7 linked regions of the Oryctolagus cuniculus genome follow. The protein of the gene in region 4 purifies or fractionates together with the protein of the main gene of each other region. This does not show direct contact. Links are inferred from orthologs where the notes say so. Each region holds a gene or a part of one and is shown on either strand. Other genes may lie near its edges. The genes, in order: RPS6KA3, NKAPD1, RPS6KA1, CSNK2B, SSRP1, ARK2N and EIF3J.

Region 1 (3,985 bases), on a different chromosome or scaffold from region 4:
TGGAAATTCTCAATTCTTTCCTCACTGGTTCTATTTTTCCAAATGGTATCAGATCATGAACAACCAAAGGAAACAAAATATCGAAAGGAAATTAGTCAAAATCTAGTTTTAATAAATCTAGGCAACATTGGCTCTGTTTGACATACTTTATGACAGAATAACAAGAAAATGGCAAATTGTAGAATTCTATCTGCCAGGTTTGGGAAAACATGACAGTAACTGCAATAACAAGGCTTTAATAAATGAGACTTGTTTCTGAAAAATACAGGACCTCTGACTACTGCTTATGTACTTATAGCCCAAAGTTTTCCACAAAGGATTTGAAGTAGTTATCCTAATATAAAGCAAAGCACCTGAACTGTAGCCACCTGGCTTCAGATGATGGCTCTGCCATTTCCTATTTATAATCTCTGTGCCCTTAACTTCTGAGACTTGGTTCCCTAATTTCTAACAATGGAGACCATAACCTTGTCCTACCAGGTCATATGAAGGAAAAGATCAAACAGAATGTAGCATAGTACCTGGCATAGAGTAGGTGCTAAGTAAATTAATACTAGTGTTGTGCCTACCTCATCCAAATGCATGCTATACAGAAAAAGGATAAAGTAGAATTTGAAATAATCTTTTTTACATATTGAAACATGCCAAGCAGAAATGTGGATCTGAGTTGTAACTTTTAATGTCTATCTAAAAAAAAAAAATCAGTCTGAAGGCAAATTCAAGTTCTTTGCACAAGTTCAGTGCTTTGAGAACATTTATTAACCTTTGCCTATATTTAATGCAAAAACATTTTTGAAGTTAAAGGGAAAAACCAGCCCTCTGGCATACTGTTTTGCACACTATCCATTCAAACGATGATTACACATTCCAAATTTGGCTTGCTTATAAAAGATTTCTAGTATTAGGTGAGCTAACAATTTTAAATGAAATTCTTGTAAATCTGCCAGTCCTAAAAAATGATTTTCTTTTTCTTTCTTTTAGATAATAAGTATCATTGTGTTTCCAATGGAAGAGCAGCTTTTAGTTTAGGTTCTGAAGTACGATCCAAAACACAAAATACTAAGCACCGATCGGAAGCATTATTACAACTCTGCTCGCCTTAAGGAGAACAAGTTAACATTTTTATACAGCAGCGGAGGTGACTGGGGGAAAAAACTGAAAAGCAATTTGAACCGATCCCCCTCCCCCTCCATTATACCGGAGAATGCAAGTGTCCCGCATCTCAGATCAAACTGAGCCTGGCTTTTACTGACGTAACCAGTAACCCTATCCACCTCTCACACTGCAGGGCAGCGGCTGCCGCCAAGTACACCACTCAGAGCCTGCCCCATTCCACCCCCGCGTTTCAGTCATGCTTTCCAGAAATGGGGTCACTCACTAACTATTACACACACGCAGCCTATCATCCTGTAATCCTCCAAAGTCCGCTGCGGAGATAGTAGACAGCAAAAAGTCAAGAAGGAAGAATCACAGACGCGCCACCATCAGGAATTGATTTTCCACTCCGGAGGGGAGCGCGGATACCCAGAACAGCTCTGGTCTGGATTACTGTCGCAGACCCCGAGTTGGTTCTGGGACAGGGGCGGCTGCGCTGCGTCCGGGGAGATTCTGCTCTGCCCCCTCTTTGGGTGTACTGTATGGGTTCGTGGCACTTGGTTGAGTGTCTCGGGGACGGTCACCAGCTCCCGGGAGAGGAAACCAGAAAGCCCTTTACGGCAGCCGCTGATCTCCTTGAATATCACCCTCTCACCTCCATGCCTCCACGCACGGGGAACTCAAGTTAAACTCGCAGGGACCTCAGAAACAAGGGGGAAGGGGAGACAGAAGACCTTAGGCTTCCACTTTGTCCCCTGCCGCAGCAGAAAGCGCTGGAGCAGAGGAGGAGAGGCGAAACCCTTGGCTGTCCGGCACCCCTTGCCGAAACGCCCTAGGGTCGACACTCATGCCCCGGTGCGCCAGTCTGCCCGCAGCAACCCCCTCCCTCGGCCAGACTCCCTGCTCCCCGCTGAACCCAATCCATAGCCTACCCTCGGCCCCCCGGAAAGTGGCCAAGATCCAAGGAAGCCCCCGACCCGGCAGGGCCAAACTTCCCAACTCCTCGCCTGCCCCCCACTCCGCCTACCGCTTCCCCCCACGCAAAGTTGATGATAATTGGCTTCTTGCACACCCCACGCGCCGCCACACCGGCAGCCCCCCGAGCGAGGGAGGGAGGTGAGGGTGCGAGTGGGAGGAACAGACAGACGGGCAAACAGACCAACCCCAACAACCCGAACCGGAATCCTGGACCCGGGGGAGAGCGAGCGGGAGAAGGGGCCAAGTGGCCAGCTCCGGGAAGGGAAGCGAGACGGCGGGGGCGCGCCGACCCCGGCCGCCCCGCTGCACTCACCTCAGCGCTGTCGGACGGGCTCTCCACAGCCATCTTCTGCCACGGGTCTGCCAGCTGCGCCAGCGGCATCTTCCCCCCCGGCCCGCTGCCTTCACCGCCTCCTCCCTCCCCGCCCGCCCCGCTCCGTCGCCGCCCGAGCCCCACGGCAGCGGCAGCGGCGGCAACAGCAGCAGCAGCAGCGGCGGCCCCGCAGAGGGCTCGACGCCGACACCGATCGCCCGAATGCCTAGCGCCTGGCTGGAGACGCCCGCACGCCGAGCGAGAGCCTTGCGCCGCCGCCGGGCACTGGGTCTCGCCCCTTTCTTCCTCTCCTCCTTCCGCCGCTGGGACTACGGCTCCGCCCCCCGCCGCCGGTTCCCGCGCCCGCTCCCAGCAGAACAGCGACCGCCGCGCGCTTCCCCACTTCCGCTCACAACATGGCGCCTAAGCGATACCTGTCTCTCAGAGCAAGGCTGGGCCGCCGCCGCCACCGCCGCGCGCACCCAGGGGTGGGGCTAGCGGAGAACACGCCCCCGGGCAGCCACACTCCGCTCCTCCCCTTTCCCACCCTCCTCGGTCTTCGCCCCAGCCTCAGCTTCTGGGCCTCGCCTACTTTCAGGAAGGGCGAGCCCAAGAGATCTGGGGGCGTCGGCCGGAGGCGGAGGAAAGAAATGGAAAAGGCAGGAGGGGGCGAAAGGCTGGGAGCTATCATGGGTCCTAGCAGGTCGGAGGTGCCTTGGGAACGACAGAGAACAGTGGCCCTCGCCCAATTGGAAAGGGAGATAGGCAAGGCGCCTGCCAAGGACCCGGGATGCGGGCACGGAGTATCTTTTCATCCTGTCTCCTCCGAGGGTGCGTGCGGGCGCGCCTAGTCAATGGGCACATCCCATAATGACCCAAGACTCTCCCTCCCCAGGGTCACACGCTGGGCATTCACCTGCCCGCTCTCCCCAATGGGGATCTGGAAGGCTTAGTGCCTCGGAACGGCTCCCGGTTTGATACAAAGCTCTGCAAGTTGGTGCTGTTGTGTTAAATTCTTGAGCTTTAGAATTCATTTCTCCTACACAAGTCGTCCTCCACCCCTCCCGCCCCGTCTCCGGCCAACTCCCCTCCCCAAGTGCGCAGAGCGCTCAGGCTTCTGCCGGAACCCTCGAAGCGTCCTACTCCCTGCTACCTAAATCTTCAAGGAGAAAACAGGCAGGCTCCTTAAGGCTGCCCCTCTCGGCAGAGGTTGGGGACTTATTAAAGAATATCTTGTGGGCAAGAGCGCAGGATTCCTGCTCCTCTGTTGACTTTAAATAAAAGATTAGATTAAAATCGGGCTGGCGTGGGTGGAGGAGGAGGAGAGAGAGAGAGGGAGGGGAGGGGTTCTGACTCCTCCTCCTGTCCAAGATGGGGAAGCCCTGCGTTAAGGAAACCCAATCCTCAAACAGCGACAGAGCCTCAGAAGACCCAGAGAGCTTGGAGGGGCAGAGGCCCGGGCATCCAGAGTGGATCCCAGGGGGCTGCGACTCCGTGTTCACCTCGCCAGGTGCTGCGGGTCGCACGCCTGGGCAGAAATGTGTAAAAGTCACAGCGCAGAGTGGAAAGCTACTGCAGCCCCTGGCTAATCGCCCTGCA
Region 2 (4,243 bases), on a different chromosome or scaffold from region 4:
CAGGGCCCAAGCACTTGGGCCATCCTCCACTGCCCTCCCAGGCCACAGCAGAGAGCTGGACTGGAAGAGGAGCAACCAGGACAGAACCCGGTGCCCCAACTGGGACTAGAACCCGGGGTGCCGGCGCTGCAGGCGGAGGATTAGCCAAGTGAGCCGTGGCAGCCGCCAAGGTCCCCTGATCTAACTTCTTGCTAATGCATCCAAGGAGGCAGCAGATGATGGCCCCTCCATGCAGTGGGAAATTCAGATGGAGTTCCTGGCTGTTGTAGGCATCTGAAGAGTAAAACAGATAGAAGATATCAGTGTGTGTGTGTCTGTCGCCCTTTCAAATAGATGAAAATTTAAGAGAGAGAGAGAGAGAGAGAGAGCACGGGCGAGAGCGCGCTAGTAGTTCATTCTCCAAATGCCCTCAATTGCCAGAGCTGGGTCAGGTTGAAGCTGAGAGCTGGGAACACAGTCCAGGTCACCCATGAGGGGACAGAACCGATTAGTTGAGCCATTGTCACTGCCTCCCAGGGTCTGCATCGGCACAAAGCTGGAGTCAAGAGCTGCAGTTAGACACTGAACCCAGATACTCTAATGTGGGTCGTAGGTGTCTCAACAGCTAGGCTATATGCTTGCTCCCTGTGCAGTCTTTTCTAATTCCCCAACACAGATTTCCTTATTCCTTCCTTGGTACTCTAAAGTACTTTGCAGCTATCTCTACTATATAATACTTATGAAACTATTTTTATCTATTTAAGTAGATAATAAATTGTTCATTCACTTTGGACTCCTCAACTGTATCAAAACAATCCTTGTCACACTGTATGATCTCAATAAGTGTTGAGGAATGACTGGGTTGTACCTCCCACCTTATTGTGAGCATCTGTGTGCCGGATGACATTCCTCAGGAGGACTTTCCCCAAAGGAACCCGGGACATTCTTCAATCTGAAATGAGTCAATAGATAACACTTAGTAAGTATTTCCTTTACCTTACTACCATTGCTTTTATTAAAGTTCATAAAAAAGCATGAGGTAAAGCAAAGAACATTGGACTAGAAGTCAGAGGAATAGTTTTTCCTTTACCATTAAAGGGGGGAATAGCCTGTAATGTAAGGATGAAAGAAGATAACATACATTAAAGTTCTTTGAACAAGACTGCACAAAATTAAGCACCTTTTATTTAATCCTCATAATAACTCTATTTTATATTAGGCAAATACAGTCATCCTTCAATAATCATGGAAACTGGTTCTGGAACCATCACCACCCCCAACCCCCCACCCATAGACACCAAAACCCATGTATGCTCAAATCCCTTATGCAAGGATACTTCAAAAAGCTCATGGAAAATTGAATTAAAAGGTATGTCTACTTTGGTAGAAAAAGTATTTGAAATCAATATAGTTTTTTTTTTTACAATATACATTCTTCATGAACTCTTTAAAGAACCCCTCATATGCATGGATTTCTCTCTCTTTTTTTGGCAACAAAGTAAACTTAGCTTTTAATTCCATCTTCCACTAACTTTCTGAAGTACTTTCATATAAAATGGCACAGTACTTGCATATAACCTATGACATCTCCTGTAGGCTTTAGAGCATCTCTAGATTTCTTCTAATACCTAATACAACATAAACGCCATGGAAATCATTATCATGCTATACTGTTTAGGGAATAATGAGAATAAAAGTCAGTACAGACAATTTTCCCCCCCAAATATTTTCATCCTGCTGTTCCTTGAATCCGAGAATGCAGAAACCGGTACCAAAGGCCAAATGTATAATATCTCCATTCTTATCTTCTAGATGAAGCTCCCTTCAAGTTCTAACTTGCCTCATGCAAACGACTATATATCAATGTCCAGATCAGATGTCAAATCTGGAACCCCAAAGTTTGCAATGAAGTAACACCCAGATTCGATAGCGTCAGAAACTACCCGTCTACAATTACAGAAACTGATGCCTTTTAGGCATGAAATGCAAGATGACCGAAATTTCTCCATTCGGGGCATCGTCAATCCTATTTTGTACAGAAGTTTCCTAAAACTAGATTAACAAGAATATTCACGTGTGTGGTCACCAGGGGTTTTGTGCGACCACCCCAACGCTCACTCACCCCTCGATCCTGAGGTAATCAGGCATCTTGTTAGTGTGAGACGAAGAACCACTCCATTACAAGATCTCCATCGACCCAGGAAGCCAAGGAGTCAGGGCTCAAAGGCAGCTCTGCAGCTTCACCCGAGTCCTTCGTGAAAACGGAGCCTTCCCACCGGTTACTCTGCCCTCACCCGTGGCCCAGGCCACGGCTGCCTCGCCCCAGCCCAGCCCGACAGGCAGATGTTTCTCCTGGCTGAGGCCGGAGGCTGCGCCGGCGCGGAACCCGGACCGCCCGGTTGACCGGGGCATCGCCCGCTGACGCTCCGCTGGAACGGACACCGGGGGTTGGGTTTCACTCCCCAGGAAAGAAGGGGGACGTTTTGGAGTGGTACGACCTTCCGTTGGGCCCCAGGAAGTGTCTACGGTGCCTGACGGGGCCTTTGGGGTTTCCAGGTAGAAGACAGAGAAAACACCCCCATCTTTGTCACCGGGATCCCTGTCCCCCAGCGGCCTTGGAGCTCCCGGTGACTCTCCCTATAAACTCCCTCCCCACACAAATACACACAAACACACCCATACCGTGCGCCGCAGCCTCGCGTGGCGGGGGTGGGGGGGAGGAGGCGGTCTGGGAGAAAAAGGAGGGGGCTTCCCTTTCAGGCCGGAAGCCGTGCTTGGGAGAAATTCTTCCCACCAACGGGAGCGGCGGCGACTCCCGCTGGGGAATTTCCTGGGCAGTCTAGGGGCCGACCCCTGCAGAAGGGAAGCAGGCCCTTTCTTGGAAGTCAAGTGAGTCCGGCTCAGCTAAAAAGTAAGCCGGACCTCAGAAGGGGAGATTCCGGAACTAGATGTAAACACTTTCCGCCTGGAGCTTCCCGGACCCAATTAGGTGTTGTACCCAGTCCGGTTACCCGGGAAACAAGTGTCGCGATTTGGGAACCGAGAAGAGGTGGGTTTGCGGACCTTAGGAATGATTGCCCGTTAATTGCATTTCCTATTTAGTCTAACACTAAGATAGTACTGGAAGACTCTAAACCTCTTGGGCTCTTTTCAGGGATGTTGTGGGACACCTCTCTGACGGGGGGTGGGGGGGTGGGGGGTGGGCGGGGCGAGGAGGGTCATCCCAAGACCTAGAGGAGTTACTCATAGGTCATCCAAGTGTTCCAGCTTCTCCGTAAAGTGGTTCTCACAATGACCCAAAGGAGAGAAGTATTCCTTCTTTAAGAGAAGAAAAAGAAGAAGAAGAAAAAAAACACCTGAGGCACTTTCGTACATTAATTACTGGAAGTCACACTGCTTGTAGGAGAGAGCTGAGATTGGAACCCGGGCCTTCTCTATCCACTAAAGGACTGAAATTCTGTGGTACTCACCCCTACACAATTCTGGCGATTTCACGTTTGAGGATGCACCATTCAGCCAATACTCAGGGTGTAGGAACAAGGCGATCACCAAGAAATCCAGACTTAAAGTGACTGCTTTGTTCCCTTGGGGTTTTTGACGGTCCAAGTGGAGGTAAGGCCCTATCTGAGAGGACAACTGGAGCACTTTGTAAAGGCTACTAACCAATGACAGAATAAGGAAAACATTTGGGGCTTGCCTGTTAAGTTGCTGTCTGCGATGCCGGCATCCCATATGAACACTGGTTAGAGTTCAGTCCCGGCTGTGGCACTTCCTATCCAGCTCAGACCCAGATAGAGTTCCAGGCTCCTGCCTTCTGTCTGGCCCAGACCGGGCTATTGGGGCCATTTGGGGAGTGAACCAGTTGATAGATCTCTCAGCTGCCTTTCAAATAAAATAAATTACAAAACAAAACAAAACAAAACACGGGGCCAGCACTGTGCCTAGCATCTTAAAGCCCCAGCCTGCAGCGGGAACGGGTTTGAGTCCCAGCTGCTTCACTTCCAATCCAGCTCCTTTGCTAATGTACCTGGGAAAGCAGATGACTCTGCACCCACGTGGGAGACCCCAAAGAAGCTCCAGGCTCCTGGCTTTAGATGTGCTCAGCTCCAGCATTTGTGGCCATTTGGGGGAGTGAACAAGTGGATGGAAGACCTCTCTAACTCTTAAATAAGTCTTTAAAAAAAAATACGTAGGGCCATTGCTGTGGCGTAGCGGGTTAAAGCCCTGGCCTGAAGTGCCAGCATCCCATATGGGCGCCGGTTCT
Region 3 (3,500 bases), on a different chromosome or scaffold from region 4:
AGGTGACCCTGTTCTAGAAGAGGCCCCAGCCCTTGTCTGTGCACCCCCGAGGGAGGCCAGGGTGGGGCTGGGGGGTCACTCACTTCTCAGGCTTGAGGTCTCTGTAAATGATGCCCAGGCTATGCAGGTGGTCCAGACCCAACGCCAGCTCGGCCAGGTAAAACTTCACGTCCTCCTCTGTGAACATGACCTGCAAGAGGCGCGAGGGGCTTCAGTGGGCCCTGGGCAGGCAGCAGCTTCCTTGTCCCTAGGGTCTAGCCTCCTCGGCCCTCCGTATCATCACGGGGTTTGAAGTATGAAATGATGGCTGCCCAGGGTGGTGGTCTTTGTCGGGAAACAGCCCAGGGGTCCCAGGGCCGAAGCCTGGGAGGAACTGTGTTGTTGGCCCCTGCAGAAGGACTGGTGCACAGCTATGAACTAGGACAGGAGCTTCCCACAGCCTGGAAGGAACGCAGCGAGGCAGGGGGCATGGTATCCAGAGCGGCGGCGATTCAGAACACACCTGGGATTTGTTTGCAGAAGAAACATGGGAAGGTTCAACAAGAAACCAATAAAAATGTTTACTGATAGGGGATACAGGGCACTGGGGTAGGAGGAAGCCTTCCCCATAAATATTTTTCTTTTGAATCATGTAAATGTTTTACCTATGCAAACACCGCAATAAGGTTTAAACCAACCCCCCCCCCCCCACCCTTGTTTTAAAGCTTGGTTCTCTTTAAAGTTGGAATTGTGTTAATGACCGTATTTTTCGTATCTGGCTCAAAATCCTTTTATATCAGTTCAAAATCTTTTGGCTAACAGGTGGGACAAGAGTGTGCGAGTCTCCCGCTTTCTCGGTGCATCTGGGCTTCTTTTTTTTTTTTTTTTTTTGACAGGCAGAGTGGACAGTTAGAGAGAGAGAGAGACAGAGAGAAAGGTCTTCCTTTGCCGTTGGTTCACCCTCCAATGGCCGCCGCGGCCGGCGCGCTGCGGCCGGCGCACCACGCTGATCCGATGGCAGGAGCCAGGAGCCAGGTGCTTTTCCTGGTCTCCCATGGGGTGCAGGGCCCAAGCACCTGGGCCATCCTCCACTGCACTCCCGGGCCACAGCAGAGAGCTGGCCTGGAAGAGGGGCAACCAGGACAGAATCCGGCGCCCCAACCGGGACTAGAATCCCGTGTGCCGGCGCCGCTAGGCGGAGGATTAGCCTAGTGAGCCGCGGCGCCGGCCACATCTGGGCTTCTCCTGGCTGCTCCCAGCTCTGCCCAGGGCAGCCTGGAAGAAGAAAGACACACAGGGGAGAGGCACCCTGAGCTCCCCCCAGTCGGTGAACATCAGACCCAGGGCCTAGCCCTCCTCCATCCACTGGGGAGGAACTCTCGGAGGCGCTGCCAGGCCGGACAAGGCCTGGATCAGGTTCACCTGGGGAGGCCTAGGTGGCTCCACACCCAGGCCGTACGGGACCCAGGAGTGGGAGGCCTTGTGGTCCGTCAGTGGGTTATCTGCTCACCTCTTTTGAGAGCCGTGTGAAGAGGTCCCCACCGCGCAGGAAGTCCAGAATGAGATAGAGCTTGCCCTCTGTCTGGAAGGCTGGGGAGAGGGGCAAGAGTCACCGGCCGTGTGACCTGCCCCTCAGCCTGCAGGTGGGAGCTTGGACAGTGTAGACCACCGGCCAGGGTGAGCGCGGGCTGGTGCGGGAGTTCGGGGAAGGGCTGCAGTCTCACCATAGTGCAGCTTCACCACAAAGGGGTGGTTCACGTCGGCCAGGATGTCCCTCTCCATCTTGGTCCGGACGCGGTCGCGCACTGGCCAGAGGAGAGGCAGTCACCCGGTGCCGGACACACGGCACACCCACTCACTCCCCAGGGCCACCCGAGGGCTCTCACTAGACCCGAGCTCCTGGGGCTCTGTGCCCCAGGCTTTGGGGACGCTGACTTCACACTGCCTCCTCCGTTCCGGGTCTGGTCCCGGCTTCCAGGCCTGCTCTCAGCCCCCAGCCCTCGGCAGTGCCCATCTGTCTAGCCCTGCGCTCCAGCACGCCTCCGGCCAGGCTGAACAACCCGTGTCCCTCTGCACCACGCTGTCAGAGCCCCACATCTTCCCTGGCACCTCGACCAGCCCCTGTCCTCTAGCAGACAAAGCCCAGATTCTAGAAGCGGCTGGCGCGGATGCTCACCCGGGAAGCTGACTAGGGAGACAGATTCCCTGGGCCCAAGACTCTGAGCCACAGGTCTGGGTGGGCTTCCCCACATATTTTTTTATTTTATTATTTTTTAAAATATTTATTTATTTATTTGAAAAGCAGAGGCAGAGAGAAAGAGAGAGAGGGAGGGGTCTTCTACCCACAGGTTCGCTCCCCAAATGGCTGCAATGGCCAGAGCTCGGGCCCATCTGAAGCCAGGAGCTTCTTCGGAGTCTCTCATGTGGGTGCAGGGTCCCAGGCACTTGAACCACCTTTACTGCTTTCCCAGGCCATTAGCAGGGAGTTGGATCAGAAGTGGAGTAGCCGGGACTCGAACTGGTGCCCAAATGGGATGCCAGCATCATAGGTGGAGGCTTCACCCGCTACGCCGCAGCGCCAGCCCCTTTCTTATTTTTTTAAAGAATAGAAGTTGCAGGGCTGGCGCTGTGGCGTAGAGGGTGAAGCCACCGCCTGTGACACTGGCATCCCTGAGTGCCGCTGGTTCAAGTCCCATTTGTTCCACTTCTGATCCAGCTCCCTGCTAATGCACCTGGGAAAGCAGCAGAAGATGGAGATGGCCCAAGTCCTTGGGTCCTTGCACCCACATGGGGACCCAGAAGAAGCTCCTGGCTCTGGCTTCAGCCAGGCCCAGCCCTGGGCCGTTGCGGCCATTTGGGAAGTGAACCAGCAGATAGAAGATCTCCCTCTCTCCTTCTCTCCCTGTAACTCTGCCTTTCAAATTTAAAAAAAAAAAAAAAAAATATTTAAATATTGGGGCCGGCACTGTGGTGCAGCAGGTTAAAGCCCCAGCCTGCAGCACTGGCATCTCATATGGGAGCCGGTTCAAGTCCCGGCTGCTTCACTTCCAATCCAGCTCTCTGCTATGGCCTGGGAAAGCAGCAGAAGATGGCCCAAACCCTTGGGCCCTTGCACCCATGTGGGAGACCTGGATGAAGCTCCTAGCTCCTGGCTTCAGATTGGCTCAGCTCTGGCCATTGCAGGCATTTGGGGAGTGAACTAGTGGACGGAAGACCTGTGTGTGTGTGTGTGTGTGTGTGTGTGTGTGTCTTTACCTCTCTCTGTAACTTTCAAATAAATAAACCTTTACCAAAAATATCTTGATTCAGACATCAGCTGGTCTTCCTGCCCTCAGTCAGGTCTCACCTCCCCCTTAGCCTCCCAAGCTGGACGAGGGCCTTCCAGCTACTTCTGACCAGGACTAATGTCACTTCAGGCTAACTTCAGACTAAGAGTGCTGGACTTCCTCTTCAAAGCACTGGCTTTTGTTCATTTGCATTAGTTAAGAGAGAGAAAGAGAGAGCATGAGAGAGTGAGAGAG
Region 4 (4,287 bases):
GATTCTGAGTCTTTCCTTTGACACATGGTGACTCTGTCTGCTCCCCACCTGGGCACAAACTGGTTGGCGGGTCGCTTGGGCCGGTACTCGGGATGCACCATGAAGAGCATGTGAGGGAAACCAGTGCCGAAGTAGGCACCATCCGTGTGATGGTGCCTCGATGACTTGGGTGTGTACACGTCCATGCACTTGGGGCAGTAGAGCTTCACCATGGCCTCACCTGGGATGTCCGACAGGCCTGGGAGACAGCCAGACTCAGCAGGCCAGGCACCCGCGACACTGCCGAGTCCCCTGCCCCAGAACTCAGCTCCCGCCTTGCTGAGCCCAACTCCTTCCCAGAGGACTGCCAGATGGTGCCCCCTCTCCCTTCTTCAATACTCACCGATAGGAAGCATTGGCTGGTTCTCACAGTATACACGGGGACAGTAGCCAAAGTCTCCCTGCTGGTACTTTTCCAACTGAAGGGAAAAAAATGGAAGGGATTGGTGGGTGGGTATGAGGATAAGCAGCGACCCCCACATAACTCTGTCCTCCACATTTCCTCCCTCTTCTTGGAGGTCCTTGTGCAGATCAAAGGGGCCCACCAACTTTCCCCCCAGTTAGGGAGGCTAATGACATCCAGGGCCATTTGCCGTCTGTTCTCTGAGGAAGAAGCAGTCCACAACTCTGACCAAGCTCACATCGCCCTCCCTGAAGACACCCCCTCAGCAGGACGTCCAGGGAGGACTCAGTTTCCCGGCCCAAACTCTGGGTTTTTCTCATCTCAGCTCGACTCCTTGACAGGGCTGCCAGATTACTGCTCACTGTAGGAACCTGTTTCCCTTACTGCCTCACAAGGAGTCACGCAGGCGCAGAGAGGCCTCACCATCTGGGCGATGCCTCGGTTGGTGAGGATGTAGCGGGCATGGATCAATCCGTAAAGCATCTCGGCCGCCTGCTCAATCAGGTCGCTCTGGTTGGGGTTGTCTTCCAGCTCTTCGTCTGAAATATGGGCCAGCCACATGCAACCACTGGCGTTCCAGCTTTCCCAGGTGCCCCGCCCACCCCCAGGGCTGTTGGCTGCCCAGTTTGCCCAGCACCCATCCTTGAGCTTCACCCAGTCCTCACGTGGGCATTTAACCTGGGTCTCTGCCCCTTCCACCAACCCAAGGAAGCCCAGCCTTCTCTCCACACCTCTTCAGCCTCTGCTCTCTTCTCTCCCTCCCAACTCCTTCCTTAGTACGTAAATACAAAGATGTCAACACAGAAGGTGGAACTCTAGACTGGAGGGTGCAAGGCAGGCAAAGAGGCAGTAAACAAGACCCGCGAGGAAACTCGCATAAGGAGGAGCGCTGAGCTACAAATTCAGAAAGTATGGCAGCAAGTGCTATCAGTCACAAAACTAGGCAAGAATTCAAGGAGGGGGGCAAAAATGCTGCTGGGACTTTGAGGTTAAGGGTGTCAGAGAACCAAAAGGAAGTTTAGAAATTCAAGAGGTAAATTCAAGAGGTAATTTGAAGAGAAAAACAGCCCCCCCACCATGAACCTTGAGGGTGTCTCACCAGGTTCCAGGTCCAAGATCATGTCTAGAGCTTGTCGATAGTGAGGCACCTGCTCATTGAGGCCGGTAAGGTTAAATTTGTCCTGGATGTAGTCTTCATCCACCTGGTAGAACACGGAGGTCAAGAGGAAAACTCCTACTGGGACCCCCAGCTTCTGAGCTGGCCAAGGTCACCTAACGAACGCCTTGTCGGCCACACGGCTGCGTCTGGTCTGCCTGTTTCCTACTCCAACTCAGCGTCAGTACTTCAGCCGCTGTCCCGAGTTCACACGCACGCCCTCCCCCCCGTGAAAGCTCCAGCTTCTCTCCTCCAAGGACAAGCAAGCACAGCAGTCTCCTTAGAGACACACTCGACTCCCGCGTCTCTAGTCCTGTTCCTCATCTCTAGGAACCAGTTCTGTCCTCTCCTGAGGGAACAGCTGCTCTCTGAGGAAGGTGGAGGCTGAACAGCTTGGTTTCTGAAGGTGGTTAGAATTCCTTATGTCAACACAGAGCTTTGCATGTTACAGAACATTTTAAGGTGCAGTATTCCAATTCTCCTAACAGCCCCCAGAGATAAGCACTACCAGTAGCATTCTAGTAATGAAAAAGCAAAGGAGAAAGGACACTTGGCACGGTGGTTCCTACATGGTTAGAGATAACCCACATCCCAAACTGGAATGCTCAGGTTCAAGTCCCAACTCCACTTCCAATTCCAGCTTCTTGCTAACACACACCCTGGAAGGTAGCAGGGTGATGGCACAAGTACTTGAGTCCCTGCCACCCACATGGGAAACCCAGGTAAGTTTTGGGATCTTTACTTCAGCCTGGCTGGTAGCAGTAGCTGTTGTAGAAATTTGGGACATAAACCAGTAGACAGAAGATCCTTCACTTTCTCTGTTGCTCTACCTTCAGATACTTTAAGTACAATAAAAAAATTAAAAAAGAAAAAGAAAAAAAAAAGATGGTCTGACTAGTTCAATGTTATCCTCCTGGGGGTGCGGTGGGGTGTGTGACAGAAATGGGACTTGGGCCCCAGTCTTGCCACATCGCCGCTGATTAGTGGGGGGTTACTGAGGGGACCCCTTCTTTCACGGGAAGGAGTTTCCACGGGATAAAGTGTGCAAAAGCTGAAGATACCCAACCTGAACGCATGGAACCAGCGAGTAGGAAGAACGAAAAGCACTCACTTCACAGAAGAATTCATTGCCACGGAGCCCACAAAACCAGGAAATCCAGGACACTTCCTCCGAGCTGCTCATCTTCACGTCAGCTGGAAACAGGAGTCAAGTCCAAGCTCTCCCTCCCCGGCTCTGGCACCTTCCCTCCTCCCACACTCTGTCTTTCAGCCATGGAAGAATTTGGGGCCACCCTTTTTTTTTTTTTTTTTTTTAAAGGATCCCAGCCTTTGGGACAGGCTTCTCTAGCTCTTGTTATTTACACCTCGGCCCCTTTTCTCTGAATGAACTTAGAAATTCCTTGGCAGGAGCCCACAAGTACCGACCCAGCAGTCCCTACCTACATCCCCCGCGCCCCCGATGGCCAGACCCCTCTCGCCTGTGTCAACTCTGGCAGAGTCCTCGGCTCGGGCTCCCTACCACCGCAGGGCTCCGGCACCCTTCCCCAAGAATTAGAAGTTTATCTTTGCCAAGCAACGACCGACACCTCCTTTTCTCACGACCCGGGGCGAGGGGCGGGCACCGCCAGGTACTCTTTCACGGAGTCCCCACAGCCTGCCTCCCGCTCTCCGGCCACCCTTCCCTCCCACGGTTACGGACCGGGTCACTTCCTTCCTCGCCCCCACCTCAAGGCGGGGAGACCCCATGTGCCGCTCCTAGGGACCGGGAACTCCGCGGGGCAACCACTTCACACTCACCAGCTGGACGGGGAGCGGGACCGGGGTGGGGGAGGGGAACAGCTGCTTCCAAAGAACGACGGCGACCGCTACAGCGAAGGCCGCGGACCCGACCGCGGCAGGCGAAGTCGGGTGGGGGGAGTGGAAATCGGGGAGGGTGGGGAAGAGGGCAACGCGCAAGCGCCGAGGGGCGAGAGCCGCGGTGGACGCTGGGAGATGGAGTCCGCTAGGGCGAGAGACCGGCGAAGCGAGGGAAAAGCGAACTACGAATCCCAGGACAGCTCACTCACGACCCTCGTGTCGCGAGGCCCCCGAGGACGCGGCTCGGGGGCGGGGCACAGCGAGGCGCCACCGGAAGCGGAAGCCAAGTAAGGCGTTCGGGGCCAGGAGCCTGGGAAATAGAGTCGTATGCTCACTGGACTGAGGGGCCAAGAGGGGGCGGGGGAAGAAGCGAGGCGAGTCGGGTCGCAGACGTTGCCCTCGGGGACCCTCAGTGAGCCCTGGCCAACCCTCCTAGTTCTTATCAAGTCGGGCACGGCCTTGCACAGGAGAGCCCCACGTTTTACCCTGAGCTCGGGCCTTCTGAGGTGGGAGGTACGAACGGGCTCCGTGCTGAGGGACCTGGGTCGGGTGTGTCTGTCCTGAGTTGAGCGTTATTGACAACCAGGACGGCCCGGTGCGCTAACCTGAGGCGGCGCCGGCCATCCTGCTGCTCGTCCCCTTGCACTTCTCCATTTCCTCCCAGGGCTTGAATGGGGTCTTCAGCTGAGGGCTCTACGCGTGCCCTTCGAACCTGCTCCGAGTAATGGTGAGGGGGTAGTGTGGCGTTATTTCATTTCACAACTTCTCGGCCTTCCACAGGTTTCCCTCCGTCTCAGGCACTTTCTTAAGCCAGAAGCTGGCTTCCCAGGTT
Region 5 (4,257 bases), on a different chromosome or scaffold from region 4:
GCGCGGTGCGCCGGCCGCAGCGCGCCAGCCGCGGCGGCCATTGGAGGGTGAACCAACGGCAAAAGGAAGACCTTTCTCTCTGTCTCTCTCTCTCACTGTCCACTCTGCCTGTCAAAAAAAAAAAAAAAAAAAAAAAAAAAAAAGAAAGTCCTCAGACAAAAATCGGGATCCTCCGCCCCCAGGGGCTCTGCTCACCACAAAGAACATCTGGCGCTGATCCTTGTGGGGCAGCAGGAAGAGACGCAGTACCGTGGTATAGGGGATCTTGTAGTCAAAGGTCTTGCCGTGCAGGTGCAGAAAGGTGGGGTAGATCCGGATGTCGTAACGACCACGGGGAGTCAGGCACTGCAGCTCCCGGAAGATGCAGATGGCGTCTCCAGTGGCCTGGATGACGTCCGCCTTGGACAGCACGTTCTGGGCAAAGGCCTGCCGAAGCACACACTGTTAACCCGGCAGCAGGCCAGCCCATGGCCTGCTCAGCCCCGTCTGCACCGGGGCGCCTGGGGAGGCCTCACCTCCACGGGATCCACGCCGTCCTCCTGGGTGGGAGGCACGTAGAAGCGGACCTCCATGAGGGACACCTCCGCGTCGTCGTTCTGGTGGAATTCCAGCGTCACCTCGTTCTTGCCTGTGGTGCACTGGGACACGTTGCTGAGGGGTATCTCGAAGACCGGCTGGTCACCAATGTCAAAGGAAAGCAGCTGCCCTGTGAGAAGAGGGCTGCTCAAGCCTCAGGCTCCCCCCACGTCTGCATCGACAAGAAGCCCACCGAACCTGGAGTTCCGTAAGGGCGGGGTGCCGGGGCTGTTTGTTCACGCTGCACCCCGAGACCAGGCACAAAGCCTGACACACCACAGGTGCATTGAGCAACCCACCCGACAGGAAACCGGAGACTGTGGCAGAGGAAGAGAATAAGAAAGGCTGCAGCCCTTGATCCTACCTGCTCCCCAAGACTCACCTCCAAACTTCACCGTCCCCCAGTTCCAGCCCTTCACACACAGGTCCTTCTCCATTAGCTCAAGGCGATAGTGAGTTTTGAAGAAATCAGAGAGTTTCTCAAACTCCTATGAGTGGAAGGGAGAAAGTGCAACCACAGTCAGCTCCAGTGGCCTTAACCGACACGAATGTCCTGACATTACCTATATCCAAAAAATTGCCCCAATAGGACTTCTACCAAAAAATCCATGCAGGGAGCTGGTGCTGTGGCACAGCCTGCAGTGTCAGCACCCCATAAAGGTATTGCTTCAAGTCCCAGCTGCTCCACTTCTGAACCGGCTCCCTGCTAAGGCGCCTGGGAAAGCAGAAGATGGCCGAAGCCCCTGGACCCCTGCACTCACATGGGAGACCCAGAAGAAGCTTCTGGCTCCTGGCTTCAGCCTGGTACAGCCCTGGCCTTTGCAGCCATTTGGGGAGTGAACCAGTGGATGGAAGATCTCTCTCTCTCTCTCTCTCTCTGTAACTCTCCCTTTCAAATACATAAATAAGTCTTAAAAAAAAAAAAAAAAAAGTCCATGCTGACTCAGCAGCTCAGCTCTGAAATGGTTTAAAAGGTTGTGGAGAGAGGCTGCTCCTGGGAGCTGGACCTCAGACTAGGGGAGGAGTAAAGAGAGGGACTGGCATTCCTGTTTCTGGACCTCACCATGTTATCTGACTTCCTAAACTTTGTGTGTTCATTGTTTTAATAGAAGTGGACATTAAAGTTAAGTCTTTCACTCAGAACAGTTTAAGAGGGAAAAGCAAAGCCTGAACTAAAGCATCCAGCTAAGATTCTGAACCTGGATACGAGCAAACAAGCAGAAAGCACGATTTAAACCAGAACAGTAGGAAGCAGATCTTCTGGAACCAAAACACAGAAAAGCTGTGAACGCTCTAGAACACTCAGAGCTGACCCACTGATTGCTCAATGGCCTCAATGGCCCTGCCCAGGGAGCCAAACCAGCACCACGGGGGCTACCAGAGGGAACCTCAACTCCCTCTAGAAGACTAAAAGCAGACAGGATGGCACGGTAAAAAGGGGGCTCACGGCAACAGGGCGTCTCACCGATTCTCGGAAGCCGTCATACTTGTAGACGTGGCCATTCTTCGTGAGCAGTTTAAGTCCGTGGCCGAGAGCCACCCGGCGCCAGATGCCCTCCGTCAACTCCCCAGCCTGGATGTTGTCTACTTTGCCCGTCTTGCTATTCTTGAAGATAATTCCCTGGCGACTCAACCTCAGCCGACCGTCATTCTGTTGGGAAAGTGAGCCCAGATGCACGGGGACAGTACAGACCGTGTCCTGGGTGCAGCTCTACCCAGCATTCACTTTGACTGCCAGGTGATCAGGGCAGGAGCAACAGCTGAAGCGAGGACCAGTAAAGAGACACAAGTGTCCAGGAAGTCTCGGTTCTGCACCTGGCTCGGGCATCCAGAACCTGCGCAGGCCATCAGTCTCCTCGTTTGAAACACAGAATAGCAAATACGGTCCCTTCACACCCTGAGATCCTACAACTCTCGCGACTTTTCAGAATTGCCTTTTATTGGGGGGAAACACCAGGTGCACGTTATACAGAGACTTCCTTTTCCCAGTAGAAACGTCACCAGGACAAGCTCTCGTTCATGTACATCAACTTTAGCTCGCTCCCTCCTTCCATCTCTATTAAAAACGCAAGCCCTTCTCACCATGGAGCCTTTCACCTCCTGATAGACATCGTTGAACTCCAGTGTCTCTGCCATGTTGACCTGCCCCTGGTGGCCTGGGCAGAGCCCTAGGCCTCACAAGGGAAACCGAATACACTGGGCGCTGGGCCCCAAGTCCTGGGTGAGTGTGCAGATGGTCAGCAGGTTGGGAATCTGAATTCAAGAGAGAGTCATGAAACGCAGCGCCGCGCTCTGCTCACGGATGGAGCCAGGTGGCCGCCCCTGGGGGTTCACAGACTCTCCTCTGCCCGGGAACCAACAGGCCGGCTGTGCCGTGCTCCGGGGGTCAGCCCCGGTAATCCCAGGCCCGCAGAACCACCCCAAGCCAACACCCTCTCTGCGCGCCACACCGGGAGCCATGGTAACGAGCAGCGGAACCCCAAGGCCTGCCCGCAGCGTGCACATCTCCCGCGCCCCAACCCAGCTCAGAGCGCTAGGTTCCATCCTGGCCCTCATGGTTCTCCCCTCCTGCTAAAATGGATTCGCCCGCTGCCTGCAGATTCGAACGCGGAACGGCCCATTCGGAGCGTCCCGCGGGGGAGCGGGGCCCAGGGACGACGACCACCCACCTCCTCAAGCTGCAGCCTCGCGACGGGCCGGGCGCGGGCGGTGGGCGCTTCGGGGGATGCGGGGGAGGGGGGCGGGGACGCGGGGAACGGGAGTTAGCTGGGGAAGCTTTTCCCGCGTGCGCGGCCCCGCGTCCCGCCACCGGAAGCCGCGCACTGACCATCGAGAGGATGAGCTGGCTAGAGAGACGCCAACCAGGCCCGCCGCAGAGACAGTCGCCTAGAGCGACGGCGACGCTGGAGGACCCGAGGCCGGGGCGGTAGCGGTGAAGTCCGACTGACTAGAAAATGAAGGCTCATCGGGCTTCTTAGAACGTTGCGGACACGTCAAGCGGAGACTGGATCCTAAAGGGAAATCGTGTACCGTGGCTTTATTTTTGTCAGATTTCGGAGGTTGGGGGGTTAATTTCTGTAGGGGTTAATTTCTAGGGGTAGAAAGGAAGCTGTGGAACACGAAGAAAAATACCTCAGAGTTGCGGAGAGAAACGCGTGCGGGCGTTCGTGTCCTTTGTGGCAGGCCTGCTGGCCGGCTGCCCCCTGCTAAGTGGGATTGATCCTTTCTGAAATGAGTTCACCGTCTACACCCAAATTCTGCACCTCTGTAACCGCAGTGGCGCTGGTAGTGACTGGCAAATGGCAGGATCGAGTTCGAGCGCTGGTGTCGGGTTCACCTTAGAGCCAGAACTGATTGGAAACCACATGAGCTCATCTTGGAAGAGGTGCACCTTGCAAAATCAGAGCCGGCCTGAGCTGGGAGAGAGGTTTGGAGTTTATCTCCTCCAGCCTCCTGCGGAGAGCAGTTGCCCAGCGGCTCTGGGAGTCGGCCACCCAGGTGGAGACAGGAAGCCGCCTCGGACTCCGGTCCCGTTCTCTTCTGCTGTAACCACAGTGGTTTTACGTCCCGAGCCACTGAGCCCATGTGTCCTGCAGAAAAGCATTCGTTACACGGGATATTTAAACTCAAGATTTCCCTGACGCTGGTTACACCAGCTTGCTAACTCAGTCCTGGGATAAG
Region 6 (4,270 bases), on a different chromosome or scaffold from region 4:
CTTGCAATAGATCAGGTAGGGCAGAATACTATGGAAAACACATAGATAAATATGTCAAAACATCATCTCGCCTTCATTCCTTCCATGAGCTTTTTATATGCCTGTGGAGCCACCCACCAGGCTGGGCACCCAGGCCACCGATGTGACCAGAGGAGGTCCTTCCACGTGCAGGGCTCAACCCGATCTGCCCCAGTGGGCAGGACAGACATGAGGTCACCTAGCATTAGGACTACATGACCATGTAATAGAAATATGCACCACATCTACTAGAACCGAGACAAGGAAGCTGCTGACCCAGCCTGGGCTTCTGTGGGGAGGCCTCACCTGGGAGGAGATCTCTGAGCCATGACTCCAAGAATGAAGAGAATTTTGCAGCATAGAGAAGAGGAAAAGCATTGGAGAAAGGTATCACAATGGAGCCAGGCATGCTGAGAATGAGCGTGCTTAGAAGTAGACACTTGTTTGGGAGTGTTGAAGGCAGTGGTGAGAGGAGTTTAGAAAGAATGGAATTCCCAAGGAAGGAAAACTTCAGAACCTGGACTTTCTGGATGTGTCTTCTTTCTCCTTGCTGGAGTGGAAGTATGTGTAATAAATCTCTTCCTCATCTGTGGTTTTGTACCAATTAAGAAATAAGACACAGGTAGTAGGTGATTTAATTTTTTAAAAAGGTTTGATCGATTTATTTGAAACACAGAGAGACAAAGAAAAAGATCTGCTGGTTCACTCCTCCAAACACCCACAACAGCCAGGACTGGGCTGAGCCATAGCCAGGAGCATGGAACACCATCTGGATCCCCCATGTGGTAGCAGGGACCCAAGTACTTGAGCCACCCCTGCTGCCCCCAGGGTGTGCATTCTCAGGAAGCTGAGTTGAAAGCAGATCTGAGACTCAAACCCAGGGACTCTGATGCAGGATGGGGGGCAGCCCAGACAGTGACTTCACCACTGTGCCAACCACCTGCCCAGTCCATATTTAAATATCAACTTTATGGCGGGTAGAATCTCTGTTGGAGGACATGGTGCACACCTGCAGGCCCCACACACTTCCTAGTATGCTTGTGGCTAACGTAGACAGCCCTTCCCTAGCTGCAAGGGGTGCTGTACTGTCCCCCCGGTTCCCTGGAAGGCAGATGTGGGACCTGATGAGCAGCCCAGAATATCCCCTCTCTGTAGGCAGGCAAGTCCTTGCTGGCTTTGCTGAGCGTATCCAGTTCCTTCCCCGAAAACTACCAAGCAGGCAGGTCATTCTTCTTCCATAAAGAGGCCAGAAACAGCAGAATTGTGGCTCACTTGGCAAGGCAAGGCATGGAGGCCCCACCCCACAACTCACGCCCACCCTGTGGTTGCCACATTGCTATTGTTTTCAGAAAGAAAGAACTCCCTCCTATTTGTGCAGGAAACTAACTTTTTAAGGCCCTTTCACATCCATACAACAAAGAAGAAATCGTCTAAGTCCACTTCCTGGTTTTAGGGATGATAAAAGCCAGGCTTGGGGGATTCCAAGATTCGTCAAGGGCCTCGCAATTAGGAGTCACATATCTGCCAGCATTAACAAAAGTCACAAGTTCATTTGGCTTTAAGGTCCCCAACCCCAAACCTTCCTCCCGTGCCTTCCCACAGCAGCTGTCCTGCAAACCAGCACAACGGTTTAAACATTTGCATGGCCAGGCTTGGGGGGAGGGTGTGAGCCCCAGTCCATCTGAATTTCTAGGGGTTGAATACACTGGGCATGCATGAAAGAGATGAATGGCAGAAGAATTAGAAGACTGGAGACAGAAAATGCTTTTTCAGAAATGGGTGAGGAGAGGGTCTTTCAACAACAGAGTGGTGAACTTGGCATTGCTGTGAGGCCTCTGCCGGGCTGGTACCCGGGCACCTCTCCTCCTCCTCCAGGGATCTTTAAAGGTCATCTTGGGCTCTGTCCTCTGCTTCATCCCTATCAAATTTGTTTCCAAGTTCTCTCATGTCTCCTGCTTTTCCATCTCTGCTGCCACATCCTGGCCTGGGTCCTTATCACTTCGTGCTGGGCAGGACTCATGTGTCTGGGTGGGGTGGCCTGGGAGGCAGCAGGGAGGCTATCTGGGGAGATCAGGCTGCAGTCCACAGTGGCTTCTATCTCTCCGCCCCCACCCCCCATGGCCTGTGTGTTCCTCCTTATCAGCTCTCTCCTGAGTACCCCTGGCCTCACCTCACTCAGCCAGACACTGCCCACACTGGAGGCTTCCTCCACCCCCCAGCCTCTTCCTCAGGTTTCAGTTAGCCAGCTGCCCACAGAGGGCCACACACTTATTCTCCCTGAAATAGAAGTGACCCGTAGCAGGGCTTAATGAGATCATCCCCCGAGGAATTTAATAAGGGACAATCCCTTGAGCCAGTGGGAAGAGGGTGTCATACGGCTGGTGAGGGAGGGTGAGGGGACAGAAGGCAGAGGTCCACCACTCCACCTCTGGGGGGCATGGGTGGTCTGGGACCCCCGGAACTGGAAGCAGGGAGATTTGGCAGATGCACTGGGTGAGAGAGCACAGAATACAGCCTCACCTGCTCCTGAAGTTTGCTGCGAGCTGGCAGGAAACCGATGGCCTCCTTGACTCAGCTTCCCGTGAGTTCTCCCAGCTGTTTCTAGAAGTCACCAGCCCAGGAGCTTTGGGTGTCTCCAGACAGACTCTGCGAAGAGCGGACTCTTTGCCCCCTCCTAAATCCCCGGAAACGGGGGCAGGTGTCCAGCATAGTGGCGCTGGCCTTGCGGGGCAGGGGAAAGAGGATGTTTTGTTCTCCTTGCTCTTGAAAGCCGATCGCCTCTGCAGTCGGAGCTGTGCCAGCTGTGGGCAGTGGCCAGCCCGGCAGATGGGGCATTGAGAACACGAGGCGGGGCCTCAGCTCTCTGCTTGTCTTTCTGCCTGGGCACCAGCAACCCCAATGGCACACCTTCTTGGCACCCACACCCCCATCCCACGTGCAACCCCTTGGAGGACAGATCTTGTCTCTCAGCACCAAAGCTTCATACATAGAGCGAGAGCCTGAGGGACTCTGAGGCATGACTAGTGCAACCATCTCCCCAGTTTCCAGAAAGCAACTGGACACAGGGAAGTTATGGGACGTGCCTAGTGCATGAATTTTATTGATGCATAACAAATCACTACCAGCTAGCAGATTAAAGCAACACACACTTATTAGCTCGGTTTCTGTCCATCAGGAGTCTGAACTCGCTTGGCTGACTCCTCTGTACCAGGGCTGCACCAGGCTGCAACCCAGATGTCAGCTGTGACTGCAGCCTCACCAGAGGCTCACACGGGGAAAGACCTGCTCCCAGGCTCCCTCAGTGGCTTCCAGAACTCGTATTCTTGCTCTTGTAGCACTGAGGTCCTATTTTCTTGCTGGTAGCCAGGTGGATACTCTTGCAATTCAAGGCTGCCCACAGTTCCTTGCCAAGGGGCCTCTCCACGGGGCTTCATGACTTCTTCAAAGCCAACAATTGGGACAGTCTGTGACCACAGGGAGGGTCTAGTCTCTCTTTTAAAGCCTTTTGCTTGATGAAGTCAGGCTCACCCAGGATAATCAATGTTTTCATTCAAGAAAATCAACTGATTTGAGACCTAATTATATCTGCGAAATGTTTTCACCTTTACCAAATTCTGTTTGCTACTAACAAGTCACAGGTCTGCATGAGGGATCTCCAGAGAGGTAGAAACAATGGAAGAGAAAGAGAGGGGAGGGTAAGGAGAGGAAGGGAGAAAGGGGGCAAGAGGAGGGGATTTTTCAGGGGAATGGGTTCATGTGATTGTGAGGCGGAGAAGTCCCATCTGCCGGCTAGAGCTCCTGGAATGCTGCTAGCATGGCTCAGTCCAAGTCCAAAGGCTTTGTGGTTTCTTCCATTAGTCCTTTGAGTCATCAGAAGGGCAAGAGCCCAGCTCTGCAGGGAGGTCTCTCAAAATCCCTCCTCGTTACAACAGAGAAGCCTCAGTACATGGAGCCAGGCCCACCACAAGTCCAGGACGCCTGCAAAGTGAGAGACTGATCTCCAAAACTGGGTCCATTCCTGTAACCCAAGAGAACACGCAGGGCGGGCGGAGTTGGAGGGTCAGGAGAGACAAGGGAGGAGTTGCATTTGGTGCAGTGGTTTACTCACTACTTGGGATGCTCCCATCCCATGTTGGAGAGCCAGAGTTCAAGTTCTGGCTCCATTTCCAATCCAGCTTCCTGCTAATGTGCACCCTGGGAGGCAGCATGATGGTTCTGAAGCTTGGGGCCCTGCCACCCACATGGAAGACCC
Region 7 (3,500 bases), on a different chromosome or scaffold from region 4:
CTGCCACCCACATGGAGATAAACACTGAGTTCCTGGTTCCTGGCCTTGGCCTGATGCAGACTCAGCTGTTATAGGCATTTGGGAATGAATCAGCAGATGGAAGATCTCCTACTGCCATGCAAATATAAAGGAAAAATTTTTAATTAAAATATGTATTTTAGGAAGAGGTCCACAGGTTTTATCAGCTGCTAAAGGCATCCATATCATGAAAAGGATGCTCTCATGAAAAGGCTATCCAAGAATAACCCACAATAAATTGGGGAGACAAGGGAATAAGGCATAGGAAACAAAGATGGATTCTGTAAAAATATTCAGTTCACTAAATCCAGAAGCTCAGCCGTTAAGGTTCCTTTGGGACACCCATAGCCCATACTGGCATGCCTGGTTCTGGCACACTTCCAACCAAGCTTCCTGTGAACATGCATCCTGGGAGGCGGCAGGTAATGGCTCAAGTACAGGGGTACCTGCCACCCAAATGAGAAATGCATACTGAGCTTCAGTCTCCTGGCTTCAACCTGCCCCCGCTCTGGCTATTGCTGGCATTTGGAGAGTAAACTAGCAGATAGAAGATCTGTCTCCTTGTCTGCCTATCAAATAAAATGAAAATAAATTCCAAGACATTTTAATAAATGTAGAAGCTAAGCAGGGGCAAACCATGTGGTAAATACCAATAGAAAAATTAATCTACCTAAAAGAATTTCAGTCTCGGGGATAAGTATGCTTTCCATCCTTCTCAGTACCTAGAAAATTAGTTGTTGTTAATACCACAGATTCAGAATTTCAGTATGAGAGAATGAACAGTAGAATCCGGTAAGCCAAAGACAATGAGTGTATATTGATTTTACCTTTTAATCTGAAGCTGATGTCTCACACTTAAGTTTTCTGTACACTGCATAAACCTACCTCTTTAAGGGCAGTTCTCACCATCCTATAAAAACACATAATGGCTGAGTGCCCTCTAGAATTAGATGAACACACTGAAGACCTGCCAAGCATACGCTGGTACACAGGAGCATCCACAACGCTTGAGGTTGCTAAAGCCCCACTGACGGGAGACTCAGAAGAAGCTTCTGGCTCCTGGCTGTGGAACAGCCCAGCTCCAGCCATTGCGGCCATTTAGGGAGTGAACCAACAGATCAAAGATCTCTTTCTCTATCCTTTTCTCTAACACTGCCTTTCAAATAAATAAATCATAAAAACGGAACAATCACAACAGTCAGCCTGCTTGATCCATTTTAGATAAGACAAAGGATAGGGGAGAAAGAATAAGCAGATCTTTCTTATATAGACTTCAATTTCAAGGATTTTTTTTTAAAGATTTATTTATTTATTTGAAAGAGTTACACAGAGAGACAAAGAGAGAGGTCCTCCATCTGATGGTTCACTCCCCAGATGGCTGCAACAGCTGGCACTGTGCTCATCCAAAGCCAGGAGCCTGGAGCTTCTTCCAGGTCTCCTATGCAGGTGCAGGGGCCCAAACACTTGGGCCATCTTCTACTGCTTTCCCAGGCCATAGCAGAGAGCTGGATTGGAAGTGGGGCAGCCAGGTCTCAAACTGGTACCTATAGAGGATGCCAGCACTCAGGCCAGGGCTTTAACCCGCTGTGCCACAGCACCGGCCCCTCAAGGTTTTTAATTTCAGCAATATTCTATTCTGGGGCTAGCATTGTGGTGCAGTGGGTTAACATCATCTATAACACTGGCATCCTGAATGAGCAACGATTAGAGTCCCGGCTGCTCCCTACTAATGCACCTGGGAAAGCAGTGGAAGACGGCTCAAGTGCTTGGGCCCCTGCATTCATTTTGGAGACCCCGAAGAAGCTCCTTGTTTGAGCCCGGCCCAGCCTTGGCCACTGCAGCCATCTGGGGAATGAACAAGCAGATGGAAGGTCCATCCATCCATCTCTCTGTCTCCCTCTAACTCTGCCTTTCAAACAAATAAATAAATCTTTCAAAAACTTTACAAACTTCTCTGAAAAGCATTCAGTAAGTAACAACGTCAATAAACTTTTGTTCAGCTCGGGCCATGTCTACCTTCTGTGCCATGGAACTCTCCCCCCTGGAGCATTCTGAATGTATTTATTTATAGGACCTACAGGTTTCTTTTATCTCATGCACTAACCACTGCTGCAGGTACAATATAGAAATGGAGGTCCTCTAAAGATATATGCCATGGTGAGAGCCAAAAGGGTCATAGAAAGAAACCATCCTGAGCACAAGACACAGCCAAACTGAGTGCCCTAGCTGTGGTCTAAGTCTCTTAAGGCAACAGGAGAGCCCTACAGTCAGTTCAGTATTTAAATTTCAAGGCCACAAAAAAAAAAAAAAAAAAAAAAAAAATTCAAGGCCACAAACCTTGCAATTCATCCAAATCTCATTCAGCTGATGAATATATTCTATTAGGAAGTGTGGAGGCTGGCACTGTAGTGTAGTAAGTAAAGCCACTGCCTGCAGTGCCAGCATCCCATATGGGTGCTGGTTTGAGTCCTGGCTGCTCCACTTCCAATCCAGCTCTCTGCTATAGCCTAGGAAAGCAGTACAAGATGGCCAAGTGCTTGGGCCTCTGCAACCACGTGGGAGATCCAGAGGAAGCTCCTGATCCCTGGCTTTGGATTGGCCCGGCTCCCCCCATTGTGGCCATTTGGGGAGTGAACCAGCATATGGAAGATCTTGGTCTTTCTCTCTCTCTGCCTCTAATTCTGGCCTTCAAATAAATAAATCTTAAGGAAAAAAAAATGTGCTTTGAGTCCATCGACTTTTTCTATCTTAATCTGTTTTGAAACTCAAAACAATTATTCAAAAGTCTGAACACATACCCTACTCTACCTTCTCAAGTAATGAAGTCTCAAACATACAGAAAGAGATTAAAAACTGCTTTCTAATACCTAAATTAGCTACTACTGTTTTCTTTAAAAAAAAAAAAAAAAAAGTAGATGTTTTCAGGGCCGGTGCCGTGGCATAGCAGGTAAAGCTGCTGCCTGCAGTGCTGGCATCCCATCCTGGCTGCTCCACTTTCCATCTAGCTCTCTGCTATGGCCTGGGAAAGCAGAAGATGGCCCAAGTCTTTGGGCCCCTGCACCCACATGGGAGACCTGGAAGAAGCTTCTGGCTCCTACCTTTGGATTGGCTCAGCTCCTGCCGTTGCAGCCATCTGGGGAGTGAACCAGCAGATGGAACACTTTTCTTTCTGTCTCTCTACCTCTGCCTCTCTAATAAATAAATAAATCTTAAAAAAAAAAAAATTTTTTTTTCTTCGTAACTAGTAAAACTTCTGGAATTTCCATGTGGAACAGTTTAATACTGCACTAATCTGTACCCTCATCATTTTTTTTTGCACCCTCAACTTACCAAAAGTTTCTTTTGCTAATTCAAGGTCTGACTCTTCCTGTAATTTCTTTAGCCGCAGTTTATCTGCTAATTGTTCTTCTGGTGTTAGCACTTTGGGTTCTTCTGGTTCTTCTAACTAAAAGGAGACAGAAAAGTTTTAAAAGAGCTGAATT

What was found.
Region 1: the proteins of CSNK2B (region 4) and RPS6KA3 purify together in Homo sapiens (affinity purification with mass spectrometry; 5 studies listed by BioGRID and IntAct, with this or other methods). This does not show direct contact. The link is inferred for Oryctolagus cuniculus from reciprocal best matches to the Homo sapiens genes CSNK2B and RPS6KA3.
Region 2: the proteins of CSNK2B (region 4) and NKAPD1 purify together in Homo sapiens (affinity purification with mass spectrometry; 3 studies listed by BioGRID and IntAct, counting the BioPlex papers as one, with this or other methods). This does not show direct contact. The link is inferred for Oryctolagus cuniculus from reciprocal best matches to the Homo sapiens genes CSNK2B and NKAPD1.
Region 3: the proteins of CSNK2B (region 4) and RPS6KA1 purify together in Homo sapiens (affinity purification with mass spectrometry; 4 studies listed by BioGRID and IntAct, with this or other methods). This does not show direct contact. The link is inferred for Oryctolagus cuniculus from reciprocal best matches to the Homo sapiens genes CSNK2B and RPS6KA1.
Region 5: the proteins of CSNK2B (region 4) and SSRP1 fractionate together in Homo sapiens (co-fractionation; 5 studies listed by BioGRID and IntAct, with this or other methods). This does not show direct contact. The link is inferred for Oryctolagus cuniculus from reciprocal best matches to the Homo sapiens genes CSNK2B and SSRP1.
Region 6: the proteins of CSNK2B (region 4) and ARK2N purify together in Homo sapiens (co-immunoprecipitation; 3 studies listed by BioGRID and IntAct, with this or other methods). This does not show direct contact. The link is inferred for Oryctolagus cuniculus from reciprocal best matches to the Homo sapiens genes CSNK2B and ARK2N.
Region 7: the proteins of CSNK2B (region 4) and EIF3J purify together in Homo sapiens (co-immunoprecipitation; 3 studies listed by BioGRID and IntAct, with this or other methods). This does not show direct contact. The link is inferred for Oryctolagus cuniculus from reciprocal best matches to the Homo sapiens genes CSNK2B and EIF3J.

The regions. Positions count from the first base shown.
Region 1 is NC_091453.1:6,322,380-6,326,364, forward strand, and holds the start of RPS6KA3 (ribosomal protein S6 kinase alpha-3), read right to left. Parts: upstream 2,801-3,985; 5' UTR 2,456-2,800; coding exon 2,387-2,455; intron 1-2,386. UniProt on the Homo sapiens protein: Serine/threonine-protein kinase that acts downstream of ERK (MAPK1/ERK2 and MAPK3/ERK1) signaling and mediates mitogenic and stress-induced activation of the transcription factors CREB1, ETV1/ER81 and NR4A1/NUR77, regulates translation through RPS6 and EIF4B phosphorylation, and mediates cellular proliferation, survival, and differentiation by modulating mTOR signaling and repressing pro-apoptotic function of BAD and DAPK1.
Region 2 is NC_091432.1:104,018,910-104,023,152, reverse strand, and holds the start of NKAPD1 (uncharacterized protein NKAPD1), read right to left. Parts: upstream 2,801-4,243; 5' UTR 2,662-2,800; exon of another isoform or gene 2,102-2,661; intron 932-2,101; 5' UTR 924-931; coding exon 855-923; coding exon of another isoform or gene 848-854; intron 274-847; exon of another isoform or gene 1-273.
Region 3 is NC_091438.1:144,950,243-144,953,742, forward strand, and holds part of RPS6KA1 (ribosomal protein S6 kinase alpha-1), read right to left. Parts: intron 1,785-3,500; coding exon 1,704-1,784; intron 1,570-1,703; coding exon 1,490-1,569; intron 191-1,489; coding exon 84-190; intron 1-83. UniProt on the Homo sapiens protein: Serine/threonine-protein kinase that acts downstream of ERK (MAPK1/ERK2 and MAPK3/ERK1) signaling and mediates mitogenic and stress-induced activation of the transcription factors CREB1, ETV1/ER81 and NR4A1/NUR77, regulates translation through RPS6 and EIF4B phosphorylation, and mediates cellular proliferation, survival, and differentiation by modulating mTOR signaling and repressing pro-apoptotic function of BAD and DAPK1.
Region 4 is NC_091436.1:138,947,093-138,951,379, forward strand, and holds the start of CSNK2B (casein kinase II subunit beta), read right to left. Parts: upstream 2,801-4,287; 5' UTR 2,782-2,800; coding exon 2,710-2,781; intron 1,645-2,709; coding exon 1,542-1,644; intron 982-1,541; coding exon 866-981; intron 459-865; coding exon 383-458; intron 239-382; coding exon 49-238; intron 1-48. UniProt on the Homo sapiens protein: Regulatory subunit of casein kinase II/CK2.
Region 5 is NC_091432.1:14,784,035-14,788,291, reverse strand, and holds the start of SSRP1 (FACT complex subunit SSRP1), read right to left. Parts: upstream 2,801-4,257; 5' UTR 2,713-2,800; coding exon 2,659-2,712; intron 2,228-2,658; coding exon 2,042-2,227; intron 1,065-2,041; coding exon 959-1,064; intron 707-958; coding exon 516-706; intron 427-515; coding exon 196-426; intron 1-195. UniProt on the Homo sapiens protein: Component of the FACT complex, a general chromatin factor that acts to reorganize nucleosomes. The FACT complex is involved in multiple processes that require DNA as a template such as mRNA elongation, DNA replication and DNA repair.
Region 6 is NC_091441.1:31,335,697-31,339,966, forward strand, and holds the start of ARK2N (protein ARK2N), read right to left. Parts: upstream 2,801-4,270; 5' UTR 2,539-2,800; exon of another isoform or gene 2,329-2,538; intron 1-2,328. UniProt on the Homo sapiens protein: AMPK substrate important for exercise capacity and skeletal muscle function.
Region 7 is NC_091443.1:67,490,370-67,493,869, reverse strand, and holds part of EIF3J (eukaryotic translation initiation factor 3 subunit J), read right to left. Parts: intron 3,464-3,500; coding exon 3,349-3,463; intron 1-3,348. UniProt on the Homo sapiens protein: Component of the eukaryotic translation initiation factor 3 (eIF-3) complex, which is required for several steps in the initiation of protein synthesis.